4 linked regions of the Macaca fascicularis genome follow. The protein of the gene in region 4 interacts with the protein of the main gene of each other region in a biochemical or structural test. Links are inferred from orthologs where the notes say so. Each region holds a gene or a part of one and is shown on either strand. Other genes may lie near its edges.

Region 1 (6,200 bases), on a different chromosome or scaffold from region 4:
TCTGGAAGTGGAAGTGGGCTCTTTGCTTTTCTCTTTGCCATTTGAAGATGAAGCCTTCTTTCCCTCCAGAGAGCACGGTGTTCAGGCACTGTTTGGAATGAGAACTGCCAAACCTGCTGGTGCATGAATATTGGACTTCCCAGACTCCAGAACTGTGGGCAAATAAATTTCTGTTCATTATAAATTACCCAGTCCCAGGTATTATGTTATAGCAGCAACGAAGACGACAAACTAAGACACTGATATTCACTATGTGGTGAAAAACTATAAAACTAACTTATCTAGTTAAAAAGGTTTTATTTAACTGGATTTTGGTGTACTAATATAATATTACACGGCCTTTAAAATCACATTTTGGAAGAACATTCACAAACATGAAAAAATGAATAAGTGAAAGTTACTTCTTATTGGATTACAGAGACTTTAATTTTCATAAGAAAATTTTTCGATGTTTTCCAAGTTTAACTATTAACTGACCTAGTTTCTAACTAGAAAACTTATTTTCAAAAGTGTGTTTAGGTGGGGCGTGGTGGCTTACACCTACAATCCCAGCACTTTGGGAGGCCAAGGCGAGCAGATCACCTGAGATCAGTTCAAGACCAGCCTGGCCAACATGGTGAAACCCCGTATCTACTAAAAATACAAAAAATTAGCTGGATGTGGTGGTGGGCACCTGTAATCCCAGCTACTTGAGAGGCTAAGGCAGGAAAATAGCTAGAACCTGGGAGGTGGAGGTTGCAGTGAGCCGAGATCATGCCACTATTCTCCAGCCTGGGCGACAGAGCTGAGACTCTGTCTCAAAAACAAAACAAAACGAAACAAAAGTGTGTTTAATATTTTTGCTGGGAATATTTTATTGTTGTCTAATTTTTACAACTTGGTAATCCATTGTGTGATGTTTAGAAACTGCCATTTGGCCTGCTATAAAGGAAAAGTGAAAGGATGATATCCTACAATTCTGACTAATGGAGTTTGTTTATTTATAAACATTAAGTAATGCTAATGTTCTAGCAATATTCTTTGTACACTTATTCTTTAAGAAACTTTTGCCTGAAAACAGAAACACTGAGAATTTTTATATGATTTATTTAATAATAAACCAATTAAAGATACAAAATTGTTTAGAGGATTCCAAAATTTAAATTTTTGTTTAAATACAAATTCACTCTGTAATATGAAAACATAACATTAGACCTCTAAACATAATGATTTCATCTACAAAAATTTCTGTTATACTAGAAAATTTGCAGAAGACAATTTTTTTGTGACATTAAATGTACATTATTTACAGTTGAAAAGTAATCTAAAAACATTTCATTTCAGAAACTTGGATATATATGTTATCTTTGTATGCAACCCCCCAAGTCCACCCCCAATAAAAAATGATCCAAAATATAAAGCAATTACGCTTTTATAACTGACTACTCAGCCAGATTAGCCCAAGGCTCAAGTTGCTTTCTTGGCCCTTAAGAAAGAGTCTTGACTCTCTCAAAATAGCAGTATTCTGTTTAGCACTTAGCAACACAAGTTTACTAATGGACTGCAAAGCACAGTGGCCTAAAGAGTTAGTAACATAGTAAACAAATTATTTAGGAAGAATTTATGGCAAATCTTACCCATCACAGATGAATAAATTTTGTTGGGTCACTTATTTCTCTGCAACATTTCAGCTATTCTTACATTAGGAAATAACCTGATAATGATTTAATTGACATAACTTGAAAATACAGGTATTAGAATTAAAAAGATTAGAACTAGAAGAGACAGTGGTGATCATCTAGTCTAGTCCAACACATCTCTTCCTTTTATGAGAAGAACTAAAGCCCAAAGAGGTCAAGATTACATAGCGAGTTAGTGGGAGTGCCATTCTTAGGCTGATGCTTTTACACTATCCTGTTTCTGAAACAGGGTCAGCCACACTACCAGCACCTCCAATTTTTCATGTTATTTTACATATTCATAGTTCTATATTATATAGTACAGCCAGCTAAAGTCAATCTAAGTGACACCATAATTTTAACAAAGCATAAAATAGGTTTTTTGCATTTGAAAGAGTCAAGACTTAACTTACACAAGTGGAATGAAAATAGTTCCTATATAAATTTCCTGTTGCCTTCTATTTAAGTTCTGTATTTACAAAAGAATCAGAAAATCTAATACAATGTAAAATTAGAAAAGGAACTTTAAAAATGCTTATGATATAGCAACTGAAAAAAGAATCTCAAAAGCATGTCTTCATAGTGTAAAATGCCTGTTCCTTCACGACTGAATTCTGAAACATTTAGATAACAAAGAGAAACAGTTGAGTTTTCCTCCCTCATCTAACAAAATCAAAATTAACTCTATCTTTAACAATTACAAAATTAGAAACCTCCTTAGACTTTATCTTAGAATCAATCAGTTTGCATATAATTGAAAATGTTCAATTAACAAACAATCATCCATAAGCTTTGGTATATTAACTAAAAAGAGTTGGGTTCCAGCAGTTCGTTTTGTTTCATAGCTACCTGAGAAGTAAATCCATTGGAACTGGACACTACCATCACATAAGGCTGTGGCTGCTGCTCCGTTTTCTCAGTGTTCTCTTTCAAATGATCTTCAGATTCCTTTTTCTCTACTTCCTGTGTAAGAGTTTTTGTTTCTTGAGTTTTGATAACTGAAGTGATTACAGTGCCAGGTGGGTGAGCAACCAGCTGTGAACTGCGAGGAGAAAAGGTCACCACAGGTGCAGTAGCATTGAAGGATGGAGAGGAAGCCACACTGACGGTTCCATTGCAAATGGTCTGAACATTGCTAGTAAGGACCTGCTGAACCTGGGCAGGGCCCAAGACAATTGAAGGAGGAGAGCCTGCCTTTTGTGACTGTAGCATGACATTTTCTTTCAGTACTGTCATGGGCTGTGATGATGGAATGGCTTGCAAAATAAACTTCTGAGATCCAGTACCTGCCGATGGATCTGTGCTGGCTATAACTGTTGTGAGTGGCACTGTTTGGAGTGTTACTGTATGCAACTGCTGATTCCTAGGAGACACAACCACTGGAACTTGGGTTGGAGCCTGTATAGTCCTATTGAGATGATGAAATTAAAGTGAGACAATTAGCATATTCTACATCATTTAACACTTTAATACTTGAGAAGTCATTTTACAAAATACCAGTTGTATGTTTCAAAATGCTACTTCCCATATTTTCAACACAGCATGACCAACATCATGCCAGACTTTGTATTAAACACTACATACAGAGATGCCTAACACAAAACTCTCAGGCCATTAACTATGATACCAGCTGCTGAGTGCTACGGAAGAAAGGTCTGTACATAGGGTCACATTAACACAAATGAGGAGCTAATTTTGTTGGGGAAGGAGGAGGATGTTAAAATGCTTAGCAAGGGCTGGGTGTGTTGGCTCACGCCTGTAATCCCGGCACTTTGGGAGGCCGAGGCCGGTGGATCACGAGGTCAGGAGCTCGAGACCATCCTGGCTACATGGTGAAACTCCATCTCTACTAAAAATACAAAAAACTAGCCGGGCATGGTGGCGGGCGCCTGTAGTCCCAGCTACTTGGGAGGCTGAGGCAGGAGAATGGCGTGAACCCGGGAGGCGGAGCTTGCAGTGAGCGGAGTTCGCGCCACTGACTCCAGCCGGGGCAACAGAGCGAGACTCTGTCTTTAAAAAAAAAAAAATGCTTAGCAAGAAGTTTGCTTGAGCTGCTTAAAATTAGGAATTTAAAAGCAAATCTGTTTGATTCATTCCTGCTATTTTTTTTGAGATGGAGTTTCACTCTTGTTGCCCAGGGTAGAGTACAGTGGTGTGATCTTGGTTCACTGTAACCTCCAACTCCTGGGTTCAAGCCATTCTCCTGTCAGCCTCCCGAGTAGCTGGGATTATAGTCATGTACTACCACGTCCGGCTAATTTTTGTATTTTTAATTGAGACCAGGTTTTCTGTGTTGGTCAGGCTGGTCTCAAAGTCCTGACCTCAGGTGACCCACCCGCCTTGGCCTCTCAAAGTGCTGGGCTTATAGGCATGAGCCACTGAGCCCGGCCTGCTATTTTAATACTTGAGAGATAATGTTACCAACATGCTCATCCACAATAATTACAAAAATTCATATAATTGTACTCAACCTGTTTTTATATATAAAGGGGGAAGTGCTTAATTAACCTAAACAAAAAACCTACCTCAGTCTTAACCATATGACAGAATTCTTAGAATTTTAATAGCTCACATTTCATGTCATATTTAGATGAAACAAGCCATGATTATAATTAACCTGTCAGGGCTCTTGGACTGGCAGAGAAAATATGGCTAAGCTTTGGAAAAATACATAGAAGCATGTTTTAGCAGTTTTCCACGTTCAAATTTTCACAAATTTTGGTCATAACGCTACAGTTTAACATAAAATCCTTTAATGAAAAATCTAGTTTGTGTAGGTTGTTAATCCCATTCATTGAAGAGAAAGTTACATAAATGATATTATGAGCCAATCTAATTTAAAAAGTTCACCGCTCTAAAATTTATAGTTATGGTTATTAATACAGTATAAAACAAATGTCGTTGAAAAATCTCAGCATCTGGATGTCAACTGTTTCTCTGAATTCTGTAAAGTTATTTAATGAAAGATACTTGCTATTTCAAACAACTAACAGCTAGATTAGTCTCCATAAACCAAGTGTTACATATTACCACTAGATTATTAAAGCTACATTTTGAAAGTTAGTTATGCAGTCTGTTTCCCACATATGAGAAATAAAATAGTGGAGGAGAAAAACAAGTTGGCTTGGTGGAAAGATGAAACAAAGACCCAGAGCAATTCAGCACAGGTTCAAAAGAAGTGGGAATCAAGGCACAGGATGACTAGAGCCGCCCATTCACACAGGATACGGATTACCAAACTTAGATGGCCACCCAAGCTCTCTTGCCCATTTGATTCAGGGAAATCTGGGGTGAGATGGGAGTCTGGGTATAGTACCTGACGCTATAGCCAGATACCGTTTTTTGTTTGTTTGTTTGTTTGTTTTTGAGATGGAGTCTCGCTCTGTCGCCCAGGCTGGAGTGCAATGGTGCGATCTCAGCTCACTGCAACCTCCACCTCCCAGATTCAAGCAATTCTCTGCCTCAGCCTCCCGAGTAGCTGGGATTACAGGCACCCGCCACCATGCCCAGCTACTTTTTTTGTATTTTTAGTAGGGACAGGGTTTCACCACATTGGCCAGGCTGGTCTTAAATTCCTGACCTCATGATCCACCCGCCTCGGCCTCCCAAAGTGCTGGGATTCTGGGCGTGAGCCACCATGCCGAGCCCAGATACCATTTTAAATAAAAAAGTCCCAAGGGCTTCCCATGACAAGAGTTTACATAACATACGCATAGATATTTGGCATATATAGCACACAGATTACATCAATATGCATAACCTTATGATATGTATAACCTTGTCACCCTACAAATATTATTATCCTCATCTTACGTATGAAAACACTGATGCACAAACAGGTTGTAACAGCTTGAATAAGGTGACCAATTAGAGAAGAAGAGAGGCCATCTGACTGCAGAGCCGATGTGCCGCCGAACCATTACAACAGACTGCCGCCACTTAAGTCCTGAGCAACTTCATCTTTAGTAAGTACTAAAGATGAGTATTTACTATTCTATCCTTAAACAACAGGCAGTTACAACTCTTCAATATACGCCTCTCTCATTCTTCTTTCCTTCTCTAAGGTATGACACAAGCAATAATGTACTTGGAAATTTTCCATATTGCTAATCAGGGCTACCACTAGGACTTCGATGCTTCTGTTTAAATTAGAAAAAGATGTCATTTTCTTGGCCGGGCGTGGTGGCTCACGCCTGTAATTCCAGCACTTTGGGAGTCCAAGGTGGGTGGATCACGAGGTCCGGAGTTCAAGACCAGCCTGGCTAACATGATGAAACCCCATCTCTACTAAAAATACAAACATTAGCTGGGCATGGTGGCGCGTGCCTATAATCCCAGCTACTCGAGAGGCTGAAGCAGGAGTATTGCTTGAACTGGGACCTGGGAGGCGAAGGTGGCAGTGAGCAAGATCGCGCCACTGCACTCCAGCCTGGGTTACACAGCAAGACTCAGTTTCAAAAAAAAAAAAAGTCCTTTTCTTTTAGACATCTGACTGCCATCCGTCACAAAATACATATACTTATCTATACTATCTACAATGCA
Region 2 (5,847 bases), on a different chromosome or scaffold from region 4:
AGAAGCTGAATCCAGAAGAAACACAAGCTGTAAAGTGAGAGAGGACAGGGAGCGGGGCCATTGGAGAGCAGGAGAGGACAGGCTGGCACCAAGCGCTGCTCCAACTCTGCCCTGAAAGATTTGAATTGGACACTGTCCAGTCACGTGTGTGGCAAACCGTACTCCAAGCACTTTTCTCAAGGCAGAGGAAGGAGCTGCTGTGGCTGTAGCCCTGAACGCTCGTGGGGCCGGCATCGTGCGCTGGGCCTCTGTAATGGAGGACCTCCAGTGTGCAGACAAGGTGCCGGCAGTGCCTGCGGAGGGCTGCGCCCTGGGTCCTGGGTGAAAGTCACAGCTGCTTAAGTGAGAGCTCCATCTGGATACCAGAGACTGCTGGGCCATCAGTGCAGCAGGAACCGCCATGTGAGAGCTGCAGCCAGGCAGCCCCATGTCAGGAGGCCTGCTCCAGGCAGCCACATGTCAGGGGGTCGAGTCCCCCCACTGCACAAGGTCTGCTATGGACAGCCCCATGTCAGGGGGTCAAGTTCCCCCACATCAGGAGGCCTGCTCCAGGCAGCTGTGCTCTTCTTCTTCCGTCTGTAACCAGCTCCAGTCTAGGGCCTGAAAGTCAACAGACATGTTAAAAATACAACAGCCACCAACACATTTCAGGTTATTGTTACTCTTCAGGAGGCAATCAGGACAATTTAGAAATATACTGAAACCCGGCCGGGTGCAGTGGCTCACGCCTATAATCCCAACACTTTGGGAGGCCACGGTGGGCAGATCATGACGTCAGGAGTTCGAGACCAGCCTGGCCAAAATGGTGAAACCCTGTTTCTACTAAAAATACAAAAATTAGCCTGGCGTGGTGGCAAGCTCCTATAGTTCCAGCTACTTAGGAGGCTGAGGCAGAAGAATCACTTGAACCTGGGAGGCAGGGGTTGCAGTGAGCTGAGATCATACCATTGCTTTCCAGCCTGGGCGAAAGAGCGAGACTCCATCTCAAAAAAAAAACAACAAACAAAAATAAAAAGAAATATATTGAAACCCCTTTATTGGCTAGGTATGGTGGCTCATGCCTGTGGTCCCAGCACTTTGGGAGCCAGAGGCGAGCGGATTGCTTGAGGCCAGGAGTTCAAGACCAGCCTGGGCAACATAGCAAGACCCAGGCTGCATAAAATAAATAAATTAATTAAACAAATACAAATTAAAAAGCCAAACCCTTTTATTAATAAGTTTTGTGACTGCAGGGCACTCTTGAGCTAAGTTACATATTCAAACTGTACAGGATCTTTTCTTTGGATTGGCTCAGAGTCCTTAAGATTCTGTGACTGTGGGAATTAGAAAGGCGATGTCAGTACCACCGTGGCTCACAGCACTCACTCTCGTGCTCACTGTGGGTAGCTAATCTCAGCTATGGATTTCCAGCCTCACCACATGACTCGGCCTGATGAGACTTCCTCTTCCTCCCACGGACGTGCAAGTAAGCAATGAACTGATCAAAACATTATTGTGCCAGGAGGAAGAGAGCAGCAAGAAATACAGAATGCCCACAGACTGGAGGAGGACATGCGACTACATCAGCAAAGGCTGCAATTCACAGTAGTATCCCCTGCAATTCTTCCGAAAAGCTTAAAGTTAGGGGAGGTTAGCAAGTGATTAGCAGGTAAAGACCATGTAAAGATCTAGGCAAATGATGCAGGATTCTCTCAACAATGAAGCTTTGTCTTAATGTACCTATATCTTGACTAGTGGTCTCATAACTAGTACTACCTACTGCTAAGCTCCAAGGCCCTGAGGACATGGCCATGGCTGGTTCCCGCTCCCAGCCCAGCACTCAACACACAAATCCTCAGCAGTAGTACCAATGGTGCAGGTGGGGACAGGCTTCTGGGGAAAATGCTACCTTCCTCCTCATCATAGGAATTAAGTGTTGCAAGGATTAAATAAGATAATGCATATATGTAGTTGTAAGCCTTCAATAATTGTTAGTCATCACTATTATTATGAATAATAAAAAATGTGTAATGGAAAATTATAAATATGCACTGAAAAAATCAGCTGGGTGTGGTGACGCACGCCTATAGTCCCAGCTACTCAGGAGGCTGAGGCATGAGAATCACTTGAACCCGGGAAGCAGAGGTTGCAGTGAGCCAAGATCATGCCACCGCACTCCAGCCTGGGTGACAGGGAAAGACCCTGTCATAAACAAACAAACAAACACTGAGGTTGGGGATAATGCCAGATTGTGTTTCCATTTTCTTTTCTCTTTTGCTATAGAATGAAAGGACATGGAATCGCAGGGGGCTCACACAGGCTGTTACCGTGAAACTCTGGTCTTGCTCCCTCACGGTGTCCTGTATGGCATTTTCTAGCAGGGTGCACAGGTTATGTGCTTCGGCCACCAGTTCTTCACTAAAGAAAATGATCAAATTATTAGAAAGCGATCATTATTAGTTATCAGAGCTAACACTGCTATTTTAAAATATGCTAAAGAGTTTTGATAATACTTTTTAAATGAAGTAACAATTATTTTGATCCTGAGTGTCTTAAAACACCAACCCATTGACTAATACTTTCATCTTGTTATGCACTTTCCACACATGAGCATTACTGCCAAAAAGGCAAACAGATCTCCATAAAAAGTCAGAAGTAAAAAGAGCTCTTTCTGCTTTCTGACTTACTAGATAGCTGAATTTAATTCTCAAACTGCCAAAATCTAAAGATATTCTCCAAATCACCTGTTTTCCAATTTCTGAAGTAGACAAAAAAAAAAGGGCCAACCAATTTATCAGGGTTCCATAGTTCCTTGGAATCTGTTGAAAAGCAGTTCTGGGATTTGGTTTCATCTAATCTGATCTCTCTCTTTTCTATAATAAGAAACCCATGTTTCCTCTGAGGATTGGGCCACATTGAGAAAGCGCAGCATGTAATAAAACATCTTTTTCTAACCTCAGCTCTATGCTGTGGGGAGACAAGAGACATCCTACATACCCAGGTCTACCTTTCTAGAGCTTTGAGGACATCATTGAAGGGAATAAGCCACGTAAGGGAAGACAGTGCCCCGGAACTCCTCTCACTCTGCAAAATGTGACAATCTGATGGCAGGAGCTCAGAGTACATTTTTGCCAAACCTCAGCTACAGGGCCTCTAGCTAGGCTAAAGGCTCAGTGCCTGCCCCAGAAGGGAATGGAAGAGGCTCCTGGCCTAGCTACTATACTCCAGGAGCTCATGAGAGGTTGGGGAAGTACTTTTTATTTAACAAAAAAAAAGGGCCGGATGCGGTGGCTCACGCCTGTAATCCCAGCACTTTGGGAGACTGAGGCGGACGGATCACCTGAGGTCTGGAGTTTAAGACCAGCCAGACCAACAGGCTGGAGAAACCCTGTCTCTAATAAAAACACAAATTTAGCAAGGCCTGGTGGCTCATGCCTGTAATCCCAGCTACTCGGGAGGCTGAGGCAGGAGAATCGCGTGAACCCAGGAGGCTGAGTTTGAGGTGAGCTGAGATTGCGCCATTGCACTCCAGCCTGGGCAACAAGAGCGAAACTCCGTCTCAAAAAAAAAAAAGAGAAGCAGTCTCACTACGTTGCCCAGGCTTGCCTCAAACTCCTGCAAACCTCCTGCCTCGGCCTCCCAAAGTGCTAGGATTACAAGAATGTGCCATACGGCCGAGAGAAAATTAAGTATCCAAGGTCACATAAATATCAAAATAGGCTACAAAGTCCCCAAGGACAAGAACAAGATTCTTCAAAGCAGACTGTATTGAGATATAATTTACATACCATAAAGCTCACCCATTTAAAGTGTACAATTCAAGGGTTTTCGCATATTTACAGAGTTGTGCAACCATCACCATGTCTAGTTTCAGAATGTTTTCTTCATCCTCAGAAGAAACCTTGCATTATCAGTCACTCCCATCCTCCTCCCCTGCCCCAGGCAATCATCAGTGTTTCCCATGCCTAGAGATTAGTTCCTGCAGAAACCCATAGAGCCCTGCACACAGAAAGTGTCAAACAAAACAAACCACAGGAAGGGACGACCGTGGGAACAGAGGTGGCCTGCAGTGTGCTGGAGAATGGGCGGAGGGCTGCTAGACACAGACTGCTGGGCCCCAACCCTGAGCTCCCAAGTGAGGTCTCCGGCAGGACCTGAGAATTTGATACTGTGCTACTGGCACAGATGAGACCTGAAGAAAGCTCAGACCTGAGCATCTATAACGGAGGGGGAAGCTGTTATTCATGACTGACCAAGGAATACCTTGGTCAGAGTGGTATTTTGTGAAGATTAATTCAACCACACAGGGCTTGGCAGCAGAAAGGCAGGAGGCAGGACGCAGAAAGCCCTGCCGCCATGGTTCAGGCAAGAGGAGGCAGAGGACGGGAAGAACGGGAAGGTCAGTGGCACCAGAAGGAGGGTGGTGACTTGGTAACTCAAGGGAGTGGTAGGGTGAGTGGGGGCAGATGGCTCAGGGGAGATGAAAGATGAAGTGGGCCTCCCTGAAGGGAATGTGGCTTCCTATGGATAAAAGGTAGCAGCATGTGCCCAACCAGCATTTCCAATGTTCTCATTAAGCAGTTAGTCATCCAAGCCTTGGACAAAGAAACTAGTTAGTAAGTTTCAAGGGACTAGGAGAGCAAAACATGTAACACTTTTGTCCCCACAGGACCTAGCAGATGCAACAAACATCCAGAGAGGTAGTGATATCATTGGACAGACATTTACCAGTGACAAACGCCTCCATCCCCAATCTCCTGACGTGCCCTCGACAGTCACACTTGGCGCTGCTAACGGGGACCTACCTCTTCTTGGCTGGTTCGGGTAAGCTGTTGGAGGCCGTGGAGGGCTGAGACATCAGCTGCCCAGGCTGGCTAAGTCGAGAGGCATTCATGCTATCCGGGCTTCCACTGACAGGACCACGGACCTTGCTCTAGGGGACAAAATCAAAAGAAATTAGGAGCCAAGTGACGAATCACATTTTGCATTCACACCACAGTATTTTCTCAGGAGACAACTGACTGCCAGATGCCAGAGCTAACCCTACAGCCTACCAGTCGGCACCCCTACCTGGGGGGCAGCTGGTGCTTCATATCTGGCTTCAAAAGTGTTTCTGTATCAACAGGGGGACTTTTGAGGAAAGGATTCTAAATTTAAGGAGACCTGGGTGCCTACATTTATTGCAGGTTTTTTTATTTTCATCGGCTTTATTGCTTGATTGATTGATAATGATTGAGAGTCTCGCTCTGTCACCCAGGTGGAGTGCAATGAGCGATCTTGGCTCACTGTAACCTCCACCTCCTGGGTTCAAGCAATTCTCCTGCCTCAGCCTCCCAAGTAGCTGGGACTACAGGCATGTGCCACTACACCCAGCTAATTTTTGTATTTTTAGTAGAGACAGTGTTTCACCGTATTGACCAGGCTGGTCTCGAACTCCTGACCTCAGGTGATCTGCCTCAGCCTCCCAAAGTTCTAGGATTCATGATCCACTGCATCCGGCCCCTTAATGAACTTTTACAAGAAAAGAACAGGAAAGTATTTTTACTCTTTTCCAGGTAGAAGACAGACACACACACAAAGGCTATGGGAGTTCCTGTGGCTCATATCCTCTATGACCTGGCTGAGAAGAAACCAGGATGCACTGACTCCGAAGGGGCTGCAGCCACTGCTCCTCCCAGCCCAAAGGGTCAAGCAGGGGCTCCTGTTCCAGCTACCTGAGCCTCCTCAGCTCACAGCCCATGACCGCCGGCCAACCTTCAGGTCACCCCTCCACTGATCTCTGCCCTGCATGGTCCCCAACCCACCTGTGTAGTCCCCCAACCCCCGCTCCTGGCACTCATTGCGGCCTGCAGTCCTTCATCCCCTCAC
Region 3 (6,200 bases), on a different chromosome or scaffold from region 4:
CACGGGGGCTCACACCTATAGTCCCAGCACTTTGGGAGGCGGGAGGATCACTTGAGGCCAACAGTTCAAGACCAGCCTGGCCAACATAGTGAAATCCCCATTTCTACTGAAAAAGCAAAATAAACAAAAAATTAGCTGGATGTGGTGGCACACACCTGTAATCTCAACTGCTCAGGAGGCTAAGAAGCGTGTGAACCCAGGAGGTGGAGATTGCAGTGAGCTGAGATCATGCCACAGAGTAAGACTCTGTCTCAAAACAAAACAAACCAAAACCAAAACCAAAACCAAAACCACACAACATAAAGCTGAACTGTGGATATGATCTATTTGTGGGGGAGGGGAGGGTTTGAAACAAGGTCTTGTTCTGTCTTCCAGGCTGGAGTGCCCATGGCTCACTGCAGCCTTGAACTCCTAGGCTCAAGCAATCCTCCTACCTCAGCCTCCCAACTAGCTGGGACTACAGGGGTGTACCACCACACTGAACTAATTTTTTTTTTTTTTGAGATGGAGTTTCACTCTTGTTGCCCAGGCTGGAGTGCAATGGCGCGATCTTGGCTCACCTCAACCTCTGCCTCCCGAGTTCAAATGATTCTCCTTCCTCAGCCTCCCGAGTAGCTGGGATTACAGGTGCCCACCACCATGCCCAGCAAATTTTGTATTTTTAGTAGAGATGGGGTTTTGCCATGTTGGTCAGGCTTGTCTCGAACTCCCGACCTCAGGTGATCAGCCCACCTCAGCCTCCCAAAGTGCTGGGATTATAGGTGTGAGCCACCGTGCCCAGCCTGAACGAATTTTTTTTATAGAGATGGGGTCTTGCTATGATGCCTAAGCTTGTCTCAAAGTCCTGGGCTCAATTAATCCTCCCACCTAAGCCTCCCAAAGCACTGGGATTATAGGCATGAGCCACCACACCGGGCAAATATGATCTATTTTGTCATTACATTGTTTATAAATGTTCTATATATGTTCTATATATAGAAATGTTCTATATATCAACATGTATATTATATTACAAATACTATTATGTATTATAAATAACATAGCAAAAAATAAAATAAAAAATCAAGTGCTAAACTTAGTACTTGACACAGAGCAAGTGCTCATTAAACGTGTTCCAAGGATAATAATGATTTAATGCAATGGATTTCTTTCCCTTCTTTGTCCTTCATTCCCACGATAATTATAGAACAATTTTTCCTTTTTTATTCTTAATAAAATAGTAACCCTTTTCATGTGAATATAATTACCTCTGTTCCCCGGAGGTCCTTAGGAAAATAGACATCTTCGGTCATTTGAACACTTAGGCCAAAATCCACCAAAACAGCTTTTGTGGACATGAAAACAATGTTGCTAGCTAAAATGAGAGGAAATTTTTTAAGATAAAATTTTTTATATATTCATAAGTCAAATGAAAACATTATCTGAAACAATAATGAATCTCAAATCAGAAAAGACTGAAATGCTTCCTCTAGTGAGATGGGTGTATTATATTCAAAAGGGGAGAATGCATCTCAGATTTTAGGTGAAAATCACTTCGGATCCATCAGGAATTCAGCCAATGTGGGTATGAATGATTGTAGCCATTAATAATGGTCAAGAACTTGAGTTTCAAACTCTACGACATAAGCATATTGTTGTCAAGCCACTTTTCTAAAGCAGAAAAGTAAAATACCCATTTTTTTCCCCCAGTAAAAGTTATGCCACTCTAATTTAGTACCGGCTATTAAAGGTTTACCTATTTCCTCATCATATCAGACTCCTAGAAAACAGTTATCAAAGTTGTGTTTAATGGATTATTATTACATTGGTATACAAAATGAAAGAGGTATTTGTTTCTCAAAAATATTTGTCTCTGTGTTTGTATGTTTTTAAGTAAATCGCATTTTTTTTGGTGGGGAGGGGACGGAGTTTTGCTGTTGTCACCCAGGCTGGAGTGCAATGGCGCCATGTCAGCTCACTGCAACCTCCGCCTCCCAGATTCAAATGATTCTCCTGCCTCAGCCTCCCAAGTAGCTGGGATTACCAGCACCCAACACCACGCCCAGCTAATTTTTTTTTTTTTTTTTTTTTTTTGTATTTTTAGTAGAGACAGGGTTTCACCACATTGGCCAGGCTGGTCTCCAGTTTCTGACCTCAGGTGATCCATGTGCCACAGCATCCCAAAGTGCTGAGATTACAGGCATGAGCCATCACGCCCAGCCTAAACTGCAATTTTAAAAGCCTTTTTAACAGAGCAGTACCTAAGAGGTATGTAGCTATAACTTTTCAACAACTGTTCAAAGTAATCTTTCTGTATGACTTGGAAAGCTCTAGTAACCCCGCATGATTCTAAGACATGTCTCTGGAGAAGGAAGATGGACGGTGCTCTGAGGGAGCTTTCCATCCTTCATGGAGGGTCTTCAGATTACAGGAAGGAGCTTGTTTGTCTCCTGAATAACTAGTCTCTTTGAGCCAAAAAGGTGTATGTCCAAAGATACTTACGTTTAATATCATGATGGATTACTTTCTTTGAGTGTAGAAAATCAAGTCCCTTGAGAACATGCTTTGTCACCCAAATAATTTCAAATTCTCTCATTGGTCCACAGCTCTCCAGTTTCTCCAGAACAGACCCTCCCTCGCCTGCTTCCATAAAGAGATGGACAGTTTCACCCCACAGGACTGCGCCATACAGCTCTGCGATGTTCTCGTGCCGGAAGCAAGCCTGGATTTCCACATCAGATGGCTTAAATTGATCTACTGGGATCTGGAACACAAAAATACGAGCGAGATTCTAAACAACCCCAAAGTCATCTTAAAAATATATAATATAGGTCAATGCAAAAACCAAAAGGCAAATAAATGTCCTCAAGAATACTCTGCCCTGTGTGAAAACGGACTGCCCAGGTACAATACTGTTTGCCTCAGATCTGCCTTTAACTATGTTAGTCAGCTTTCAGTATAAAATTCAGAACAAGAAAATAAAAAACAAAATAATGAGTTATTATTTTCACTTAGAAGTCAGAAATCCATCCAATGTTTTCAAATTATGAATGAATCAAAAAAGAGATAATTTCCCACCTATTAGACAACAGTATCTTTGGTACCTAGATTTTAGGTTGTATTTTCAATATTTCAGTTTATTGTGAGATAGTATGAAGTGTTTGTTGCCACAGTTCATACTCTATTATAGCAACGTATTTAAAATAAGCACTGAAAATGGACACGGTGGCTCATGCCTGTAATCCCAACACTTTGGGAGGCCAATGTGGGTAGATCACTTGAGGCCAGGAGTTCAAGACCAGCCTGGCCAACATGTCGAAACCCCATTTCTACAAAAAATACAAAAATTAGCCAGGCATTGGTTGTGCACGCCTGTAATCCCAGCTACTCTCTTATTACAATAGGAGAGACCAAGACATAATATTTGGCAATTATTTATTTTATTTTTTGTTAAATCAAAAGTGAGTGTATTTTTTGTTGTACTTTTTGAAAAATTAATTAAAGCAAAACAGACATACAAAAAAGTGTAAAAATGATGAGTCCAACTCAATGAATTATCAACTGAATGTACAAATGTAACCCCCATCTAAATCAAAATGAAAAACCACATCAGGCCAGGTGCGGCAGCTCACGCCTGTAATTCCAGTGCTGTGGGAGACCAAGGCAGGTGGATGGCTTGAGGTCAGGAGTTCGAGACAAGCCTGGCCAATATGGCAAAACCCCATCTCTACTAAAATATGAAAATTAGGTGGGCATGGTGGTGGGTGCCTGTAATCCCAGTTACTTGGGAGGCTGATGCAGGAGAATTGTTTGAACCCAGGAGGTGGAGTTTGCAGTGAGCCAAGACCCTGACACTGCACTCCAGCCTGGACAACAGAGCAAGACTCTGTCTCAAAAAAAAAAAAAAAAAAAGAAGGGATAGGGTCTTTTCAATCATTGATATATTTAAATTCAGCCTTTTAAATCTGCCTTCCTGAGAAGGCTACCTCCTTCCCAATCTGCCTCTGCCTGGCCCCCTCCGCAGCTGAATGAAAGGAGAATCACATAGAATTGCTTCTACTTCGCAGGATGGCTCTTCTCTACCTCTCTCCAAGAGTGATGATGTTATTTATCCAAATCAGTGCTTTAAAAACCAGCACTTTCCTTGTAATCATCTAGATTAAAATCAACTATGCTCCTAAACAGAGATTTTGGGGCTGAATGGCCCCAAGTAGCCAATGAATTCAGAAAAACAAATGCTTTGAGGCAGTGCACCCTTAGATAAGATCCAATCAAAGGATAAAAATCTTTGGTTAATGCAAATGGACAAACAAACAAAAGCCAGAATGCCAAACACACAGTGTGGGTTATCTAGTTACATAACACATACCAGTTTACACGCCATTCTTTTCTTCGTCTTTATATCTTGTGCCAAGTATACCTTTCCAAAGGCTCCCCGAGGAATAAAATCAGAACCAATATTTCTGTAAGTCAGCTTCCAAGGGATCAGGAGAACATCAGAGTCTATTTGGTAACGTCCATTTTGAGGAGTGATGACCTACAGCAAAATAAAAATGTGAGAGGGTGAGGACTTCAGTCAAGTTGACTTTTTCTAAGTTTCCATTAGGAGACTGGTTATTTTAGCAGCATTCTGATACACAGTTACAAAATTAATGTCACCGTGCTTAATCCTACCAACTGTACAGACCTATATTTAGAGCTTGAGGAAGTCAGAGAGAGCATGTAACAGACACAGGTGCCTGGTCAGACCTGGTCATATTTCCACCTACTCATGAGTAATTAATTGCCAAATAGAACTTTAAAAATTATTTATCTAAAAAAGCATGACTACGGCAACCAGAAGGTTGAAAATAAAGATTGCGTAAATATAAACCATGCCTGCAGGTTGACTTGTTTCTATTAAAATGTGCGAACCTGTTAGTCCACATAGCTATTACTCACACATGATGCATACAGAGAAAGAGCATCAAAATTAACTGATGATCATGGAAGATTTTGGAAAACCACAGCGTATGCCAGAGCTATGAGTTGACAATGCTATGTAAATTAAGTGAGGGCTGAATTACTTCTCATCTACTTACTCACTTAATATCTATTGCATGCATTGTATCTATTGTGTGCAAAAAAGTTGCTAGGCACTGTGTTTGGCGCTGCGGAGGCAGCCATGAACAAGAGATGGCTGATCCTTGACCTCCCAGGGTTCACAAGCAAGCTGACTCTTAGAAGTTTTGAAACTAGTTGATTCAAACATTGAGAGACAGCTGGGAGCAGTGGATAACGCCTGTAATACTAGCACACTGGGAGGCTGAGGCAGGAGGCTATCTTGAGGCAAGAGCAGCCTAGGCAACATAGCGAGACCTCATTTCTACAGAAGGAAATAAAAACACAATATAAATTTTAAAATAATAAAACAAAAATTAAGAGGTCTACTCTGATAGCAATGTGGGTTCAAAGGCACATGCATTTGTCAAAACTCGTAAAATTGGACATTTAACATCTGTGTATTTGGCTATATATAAAATATATTTCAATTTTTAAAGAGGAAAAAATTAGAAGAGAAAATAATTATAATCAAAATTAAAACAAAATAATATGGTAGTTCATGGGAAATGCGATCTGGAATACCTGTCTGTAACATGTCCAAAGTGTTCTTTCAAGGGATAAATCACCTCAGTACCAGTTTCTCCTCAATGTAATCAGTAATATTACAGCTTCTGATTCGGAATTCAGGAATTATGAAACTTCTTCTTCTTCTTTTTTTTTTTTTTTTTGAGATGCAGTCTTGCTCTGTTGGCTAGGCTGGAGTGCAATGGAATGATCTTGGCTCACTGCAACCTCTGCCTCCCAGGTTCAAGGGATTCTCTCATCTCAGCCTCCTGAGTAGCTGGGATTACAGGTGTGCACCACCACGCTCGGCTAAATTTTGTATTTTTAGTAGAGACGGGGTTTCACCATGTTGGCCAGGCTGGTCTCGAACTCCTGACTTTAAGTGATCCACCTGCCTCGGCCTCCCAAAGTTCTGGGATTACAGGTGTGAGCCATGGCGCCTGGCTCAGGAATTGTGAAACTATTAAAGGACCTTAACTTATTTCAAGTAACAGAAGAAGCTGAACAACTAGGTGTGGTGGCTCACGCCTATAATCCCAGCACTTTGGGAGGCTAAGGTGGGAAGACTGCTTGAGGCCAGGAGTTCAAGACCAGCCTGGGTGACACACTGAGAA
Region 4 (6,668 bases):
GTTAATCAGCGAGCCAAAAAGAGTAAACTGAAGGCTTTTACAGTTTTATCTGCTGTGCTGCATGGAATTACATCCCCCCAAAACGTATGTTCAAGTCCTAACCACAGGTACCCGTGAACATGAGTTTATTTGGAACTACGATCTTTGCAAATGTTATCAAGTTAAGATGAGGTAATACTGGATTGGGGTGGGCTCTAAATCCAATGACTGGTGTCTTCATAAAAGAAAGGTGAGGGAGATTTGAATATAGGGACACAAAGGAAACACAGGGAAGGAGACCATGTGACCATGTAGGCACAGAATGAAGTGTTGCACCCAAGCCAAGAATGGCAAGGATTGCTGGAGCCACCAGAAGCTAGGAGGCGGCAAAGGATTCCTCCCTAGAGTCTTCAAGGGAGCATGGCCTTGATGGCACCTTGAGTTCAGAATTTTAGGCTCCAGGACTGTGACAGAATAAATTCCCATTGTAAGTCATTCAGCCGGTGGTAACTTTTTACAGCAGCCCCAGGAAACTAACATGCCTGCTCAACACCCTACCCTCAATTTTAAGTTCATTTTATGGAATCATTTTGAGTTTGGAGTCTGATTTAATCCCTTTCAGTAATTAACACTCTTCATTTTTTACCCCCAAATATGTCACACTGGCTCTACTCTTGTAACAATTCTATTTACCTATCTTTTGGTAATGGGGCTGCCACTCCTTGCAGAATGAAAAGTAGAGCGTGTATGCTCATACCTCCCAAAGTGGGGGAAAATCCACACCCCTTACACTTTGTTTCATGGGAACTTGCAGACTTCTTACTCATGTCACTGGCAAAAATCATTTTACATAAACTATATTTCAATCTCCTATACTATTGGCATAATTTCTAATCTGTCCCATAAATAACAACACATAATTTCTTTCTTTCTTTTTGAGAAGGAGTCTCGCTCGGTCTCGCCCAGGCTGGAGTGCAGTAGCACAATCTCGGCTCACTGCAACCTCTGCCTCCGGAGTTCAAGCGATTCTCCTGCCTCAGCCTCCCAAGTAGCTGGGATTACAGGCGCCTGCCACCAAGCCCGGCTAATATTTTGTATTTTTAGTAGAGACGGGGTTTCCCCATATTGGTCAGGCTGGTCTCCAACTCCTGACCTCAGGTGATCCACCTGCCTCGGCATCCCAAAGTGCTGGGATGACAGGCGTGAGCCACCGCACTCGGCCCACAAAATTTCTTAAAAAGTCGTTGTGTTCAGTCTTTATGGATCCTCTGAATTCCACCTGCTCAGCCTCCAGGAGCTAAATGAGATCGCTTAAAGGTCAACTGTTGGGTGCCTCCAAGGTCGCCCCAGAGGCTCCTGTCATAGGCAATCAAATGAATCTCTGTTTTTACTTTTGGTTGTGCGCGTATGTGTGGTTTTTTTGTTTGTTTTGTTTTGTTTTTTGTTTTTGCCAGAAAAACACTCCACCAAGAAGGTTTTTATAACCTAGTGGAGGAGGAGGACGGAGAGTGGGCACAAAACGACTAGGATGAACATGCTATAAGGAATCTGAATGCCACTGCACTATTGCCTGGTAAGGACCTGATTACCGATATTTTAAAGCTAAGCTTTCAGTTGTCACTCGACCCACTAGTGAAACAATGAGCTCTAAAATATATGTTTCAGCTCAAGATTTCTTATGTGGGGAGGTAATGCAACCCAAGGTATCCCCAGCCTGTGCCTAGTACAGCGCCCAGCACTAAAGCAGCTCAGATGCCAGTGAACGGTGGTCACTGGCAGGCCTGTCAATGGGTGCCAGTAGCGGTCTCTTCAGAGAAAAAGAAAACTCCCCTCTGCCAGATCAGTATTTTATGAGCTGTAAACCAAAACCATTGCTACCACCATCACTATAATTCTATCCACAGTAATTATCATAAAGGCCTAACAATGCCTTGTAGATGAATATTGAGTAACTGCCCTATAACGAGGATATTTAAGACCGCACCAAAAACCAGTAGAGGGTTATACTTTACTGGACACAAGTCGGTTATGATAACGAAATTCTAGTTTAATCTGTGAAGAGATCTGAATGTAACCGAGACACATTTAAATGGAATATACAGATGAGCTTTATTTTTATATCTGGCATGCTTGGATCCATGCCGACCCTCCAGCTGCTCGGGCCTGCCCTTAGGGGCTATGGACCGCATGACTCTATCAGCGGCACCGCCGCCGCCTCCGCGCCGCCTGTGTTCCCGGACCACTGGGCCCGGCTGGCGCTTCCTGGGGGCGTCCCTACCGGCTCCAGCCCTCGGGATTTGGGAGCGCCCGGCTAGGAAGCCAGAGTCACGCCGGGGATCCCGGCGTCCAGGCCGCCTAACGCGCGCCCCTCGCCCGGCGCCCCGAAGCGGCCCCGAGGGGCGGGAGCCCAACCGAGCAACGAGGCCGGGCCGGGGGCGCACGGCCCCCAAAAGTGCGGGCTTCCCCCACCCCCGGCAGCGACCCCACCTCCCGCCCCCGCTGCGTGCGCGCGTGTGTCCGTCTGTCTGTATGCTCTCTCGACGTCAGTGGGAATTTCCAGCCAGGAAGTGAGAGAGTGAGCGAGAGAGAAAGAGAGAGAAGTGCACCAGCTAGCCGGGGCAGGAAGAGGAGGTTTCGCCACCGGAGCGGCCCGGCGACGCGCTGACAGCTTCCCCTGCCCTTCCCGTCGGTCGGGCCGCCAGCCGCCGCCGCCCTCGGCCTGCACGCAGCCGCCGGCCCCGCTCCCGGAGCCCAGCGCCGCCGAGGCCGCAGCCGCCCGGCCAGTAAGGCGGCGCCGCCGCCCGGCCACCGCGCGCCCTGCGCTTCCCTCCGCCCGCGCTGCGGACATGGCGCGGCGCTGACTGGCCTGGCCCGGCCCCGCCGCGCTACCGCTCGCCCCGACCCGCACCCGGGCCCGCTCGGGCTCCGGCCGGCCACCGCCTCTTCCCTCTCCAGCCCGCAGGCCCGCGCCGCCCAGGAGGGAGAGACCTGCGCCAGGAGGCCGAACGCGGACTCGCCACCAGGGTAAGCCAAACTCGGGCGAGTGGGGGCCCGGCAGGGGACGCGTGGCTCGAGTCCCGCCATCCAGCTCTCCGCACCCCCTCCAGCCCCACTCGGACTTCCTCATTCCTGCGCTAACCGCTGGGCTAGACCGTGGGAGGAGGTTGACAGTAGTGAGAGGCACATGGGATTGGCGACAGCGGGGTAAGGCACATCCGGACCTCGCAGGGGCTAGTCGGCCGAAGGGCCGTGGCTGCCCGGCGCTCATTTCTCTTCACGTCCCTCCGCGGGGTGGGAATGCGAATCGGAGGGGAACTCTTACAAACTTTTAAAATCCCCCAACCCCAGCCCCAGCTGGGGGATAGTGAGAAGGTTGAGGTGCGCTGCGGCGCGGAGGAGAGAGGGAAGGTGGTTGGTGCAGTGCAGAACCAGATTTCACCTAAGGGCGTTCCATGAAATGAAAGAAGAAGTGCTTGTCAGTCCTCCTGGCAGGGAAAGCCCTCTCCAGCTCCCCAGAATTGAATAGGAGAGTCTATTCATCCCTCTCCTACTTCTAAAAGAAGCCTGGCCCTCTCTCTGTCTCTTTTTCTCTCCCTCCCCCCACCCCTCCGTACACACACACACACACACACACACACACACACACACACACACACGATATAGTCACCTGCTATAGGACTTGATTCTGATCCTCTGGGGCCTGGCATTTGAGAGAGAAAATAAATTACCTAGTTGGATACTTAGAGCACTTTTTAGACTTGATTATGTAAAATTCTTGGACAGTGCCACCATGTATTATGCATGACTTCTGAAACAAAAACAATGTAAAAACAAAGCCTATCCTAAATGTAAGTTTTTCTATGGTCCTTAAAAACAGACACCAGGGAATGTTTGCCCTGACTTACTGGTCTATCCTGAAACTGAAATGGGACTTAATGATACAGGATTTAATTATCAAGATTTGAGACATTTTCATGGACTTTGTTAAGTAGAGGTTTTCAGCATTACAGTTTATGAAATAACCATATTTAACTCAAAGATTTTGTTATAAAGCTTATAATCTGAAAAAATGCTTATGGTATTACTAGAACATTTAATAACTCTGGCATCAAAATATTCTACACACTGGTGATCTTTAGTAAATACTAAAGGTTAGGGTCAAGATGTTCAATAATTTTCTTCTAGCAGAATCCCACAACTGAATATTGTCAAGCAGTTTAAACTGCATTCGTGTTTGTTAAAACTTTAAAAGGGAAACTTAAAATTGAAGTATGTTGTTTTTCTGATTTTAATTTTGTGCTTTCTAGAGATGAATCCTTTTACTGCTTGAGGCACTATGGGAATTATGTGTTTAAATGTATGTATTTAAATTTGAAGCAGTGTACTTTTTTCAGTTTATAAACTTGGGAAGACAGGAAATGAAAAGATTTATTTCCTGTAGAATTTTACGTTCATGATTTAATTGAATTGCTGAAATGAAAAGAACATATACGATGAATGGAGACTTGGAATCTGAGATTATTCATCCATATTGATACACCTGCAATTCCTAAATGCCCTCCCCTGCTTGTTTAGATAAAATGTCTTCCTGGTCTGCAACCTACTGGACAAACTTGAACACAAAGGAACACACGTTTTATGTACATTTAATACTGGAACCGAAAAGCTGCTTGCAGTGAAAAGCAAACCACTTCTAAACTCTTTGACACTTTTTAAGGAAAATAGTATAATCGTTTTGGGGTTGGTGGTGATTTGAAAATCTTTTATCTTTTTTTCTGAAATTTCATTCTTACGTTCGTCGTTGGCACTCACTTGTGCTGAGTAAATGCCCCTGTTTTTCAAACCCAGATAGTAAATACTGGGGTATACATACAAAAATAGTCCTTCCCCTTTGTAAGCATTGCTTTGATCTTTGCACTTCCTTTTTACTCTACCTCTTAAACAAGATCTGTGATGACTGAGTTGATTAAAGCACAATTAATCTTGAAATAGGAAGAATTTTAGATTTAGTGATCATATTCCTTACATTTCTGTTGTTACTGTTCCTGGAAACAAATTGAAGTAGTGTGAGAAACTAATTATTTATGTAGGTTGTTTTAGCTACACTTTTAGACTTGCAGATAATTGATTAAGTAAGTTACTACCTTGACTTTCAGGGATTGCTCATTGTGGTAGATACGAGGTCTAGATAGGGAATTGGCAGCTACATGAATGTTGGACTATCATTCCATCAGCAAGACCTTATTTTTACCTAATTTATGAGAGGTATTTCTCTCTTCAGAAGAGGTGAAAGTTCTGGCTTCTGAGGGGAAGTGATTACTTCATAACCTTCAATTGGTTTGAACTTGGGAGAAGTAAGAAAAGTAGTCGATATTTTCAAACAATAAAATAATTGTGTCTGAGTTGCTGTATGGATTTTTCATGAAGTACTCAAAAATGTCATCTTTTTCATCTTCAGGTCTTAATAGATGTGCTCTTCTGAGCATAGAATTGACTGCAGTAGGAAGTGTATCTGGAAATGCACAGTACTGTTGTATAACCAATAGAGTAAATACTCAGATTATGCGCTTCTAGTCCACAGATTGATCAGAAATCACATTAACAGGAATGGATGTCTATGAATGAATGGCTATGCAAAATTTCTCATTAGCTTTTTTACTTTTAGTAGGAAGTTTGTTTTATTTGGTTGGTCTCTTGGTTTTCTGTTTACAATGTGAATTGTCTACAGTAGTGGGATTGTTATATTAGAAGAGAAGGAGAAGGCAAAATAGAAGTTAGTGCCAGAGGATATGTTAAGATATGCTGCTCCTACATCTACGTTTGTGTCTAATCAGCGTTAATTGATGACTACGTCTTGGTAACCAGTAGACCATACTGGAGCAATTTACTCTGCTTTTTGGGAATTAGTTCTCATTTGCACTCTTGCACTTCCCATGAATATTGAACTCACTTGCAGTGTTCTTAGAGGTGAGCAATAAACCATCAAGAGCATATGATATCTCTTTGAATTCTGTCACTACTTTGGAGACAGAGAGTTTGGAAGAACTGAAGCTACTCAGCCTCAGGGAGAAAGGTTTGAACATTTTGGCATAGTCCTGCAAGTCAATTTGGCTCCTTGACTGTGAATTTTTTTTAATCAAAAAAGATTAATATTTGAAACCACATAATTTGGTACAGTTAATAGTTCTGGTAACATAACCAAGCCTTTTATCTTTGTAATATTTCATTAATTAGTATCCAGTGCCTCACTTTTAGAAGAAAAAAAGAGAAAAAAGTAGTTAACATTCTTTTAATGATGATGAAATTGCTTCATACTTTTGGTCTCTGCTGTATTAGAGGTTGTTCCTGGGTGCAAATTAATATACTGTCTTTTACATTTCCGGAGGTTGTTGACCTGGCCTTGAAGATCAGCCAACAGTTTAGAAAATAAGTTGTGCAAATTGCATTGCTTCACCTCAGATAATTTAAAGCCTGACAGTTCTGTATAAAATAAGAGTCACATAAGATGCAATTTGTTAAAGATTATAGAAATCTCAGAAGATAGATTATGGATGAAAATATTTGTTTAATTTCGAGTACTAATAATAAAAATAGTGCATTTTACATTTTAAAAAGAAAACAATTTTTATTCTCATATTTTCTGTAGTAACTAATACAGATTTAATTATCAATAATACAAATTTCATCTG

Evidence for each region.
Region 1: the proteins of NFKB1 (region 4) and ELF1 form a complex in vitro, tested with the Homo sapiens proteins (2 studies listed by BioGRID). The link is inferred for Macaca fascicularis from reciprocal best matches to the Homo sapiens genes NFKB1 and ELF1.
Region 2: of the proteins of NFKB1 (region 4) and IKBKB, one has a biochemical effect on the other in vitro, tested with the Homo sapiens proteins (4 studies listed by BioGRID and IntAct). The link is inferred for Macaca fascicularis from reciprocal best matches to the Homo sapiens genes NFKB1 and IKBKB.
Region 3: the proteins of NFKB1 (region 4) and MAP3K8 form a complex in vitro, tested with the Homo sapiens proteins (2 studies listed by BioGRID and IntAct, with this or other methods). The link is inferred for Macaca fascicularis from reciprocal best matches to the Homo sapiens genes NFKB1 and MAP3K8.

What each region holds. Positions count from the first base shown.
Region 1 is NC_088391.1:20,303,742-20,309,941, forward strand, and holds the end of ELF1 (ETS-related transcription factor Elf-1), read right to left. Parts: intron 3,067-6,200; coding exon 2,463-3,066; 3' UTR 1,073-2,462; downstream 1-1,072.
Region 2 is NC_088382.1:45,839,780-45,845,626, reverse strand, and holds part of IKBKB (inhibitor of nuclear factor kappa-B kinase subunit beta), read right to left. Parts: intron 4,913-5,847; coding exon 4,785-4,912; intron 2,398-4,784; coding exon 2,307-2,397; intron 601-2,306; coding exon 535-600; 3' UTR 1-534.
Region 3 is NC_088383.1:31,170,168-31,176,367, reverse strand, and holds part of MAP3K8 (mitogen-activated protein kinase kinase kinase 8), read right to left. Parts: intron 4,517-6,200; coding exon 4,349-4,516; intron 2,744-4,348; coding exon 2,482-2,743; intron 1,355-2,481; coding exon 1,248-1,354; intron 1-1,247.
Region 4 is NC_088379.1:108,166,953-108,173,620, forward strand, and holds the start of NFKB1 (nuclear factor NF-kappa-B p105 subunit), read left to right. Parts: upstream 1-2,548; 5' UTR 2,549-3,003; intron 3,004-6,668.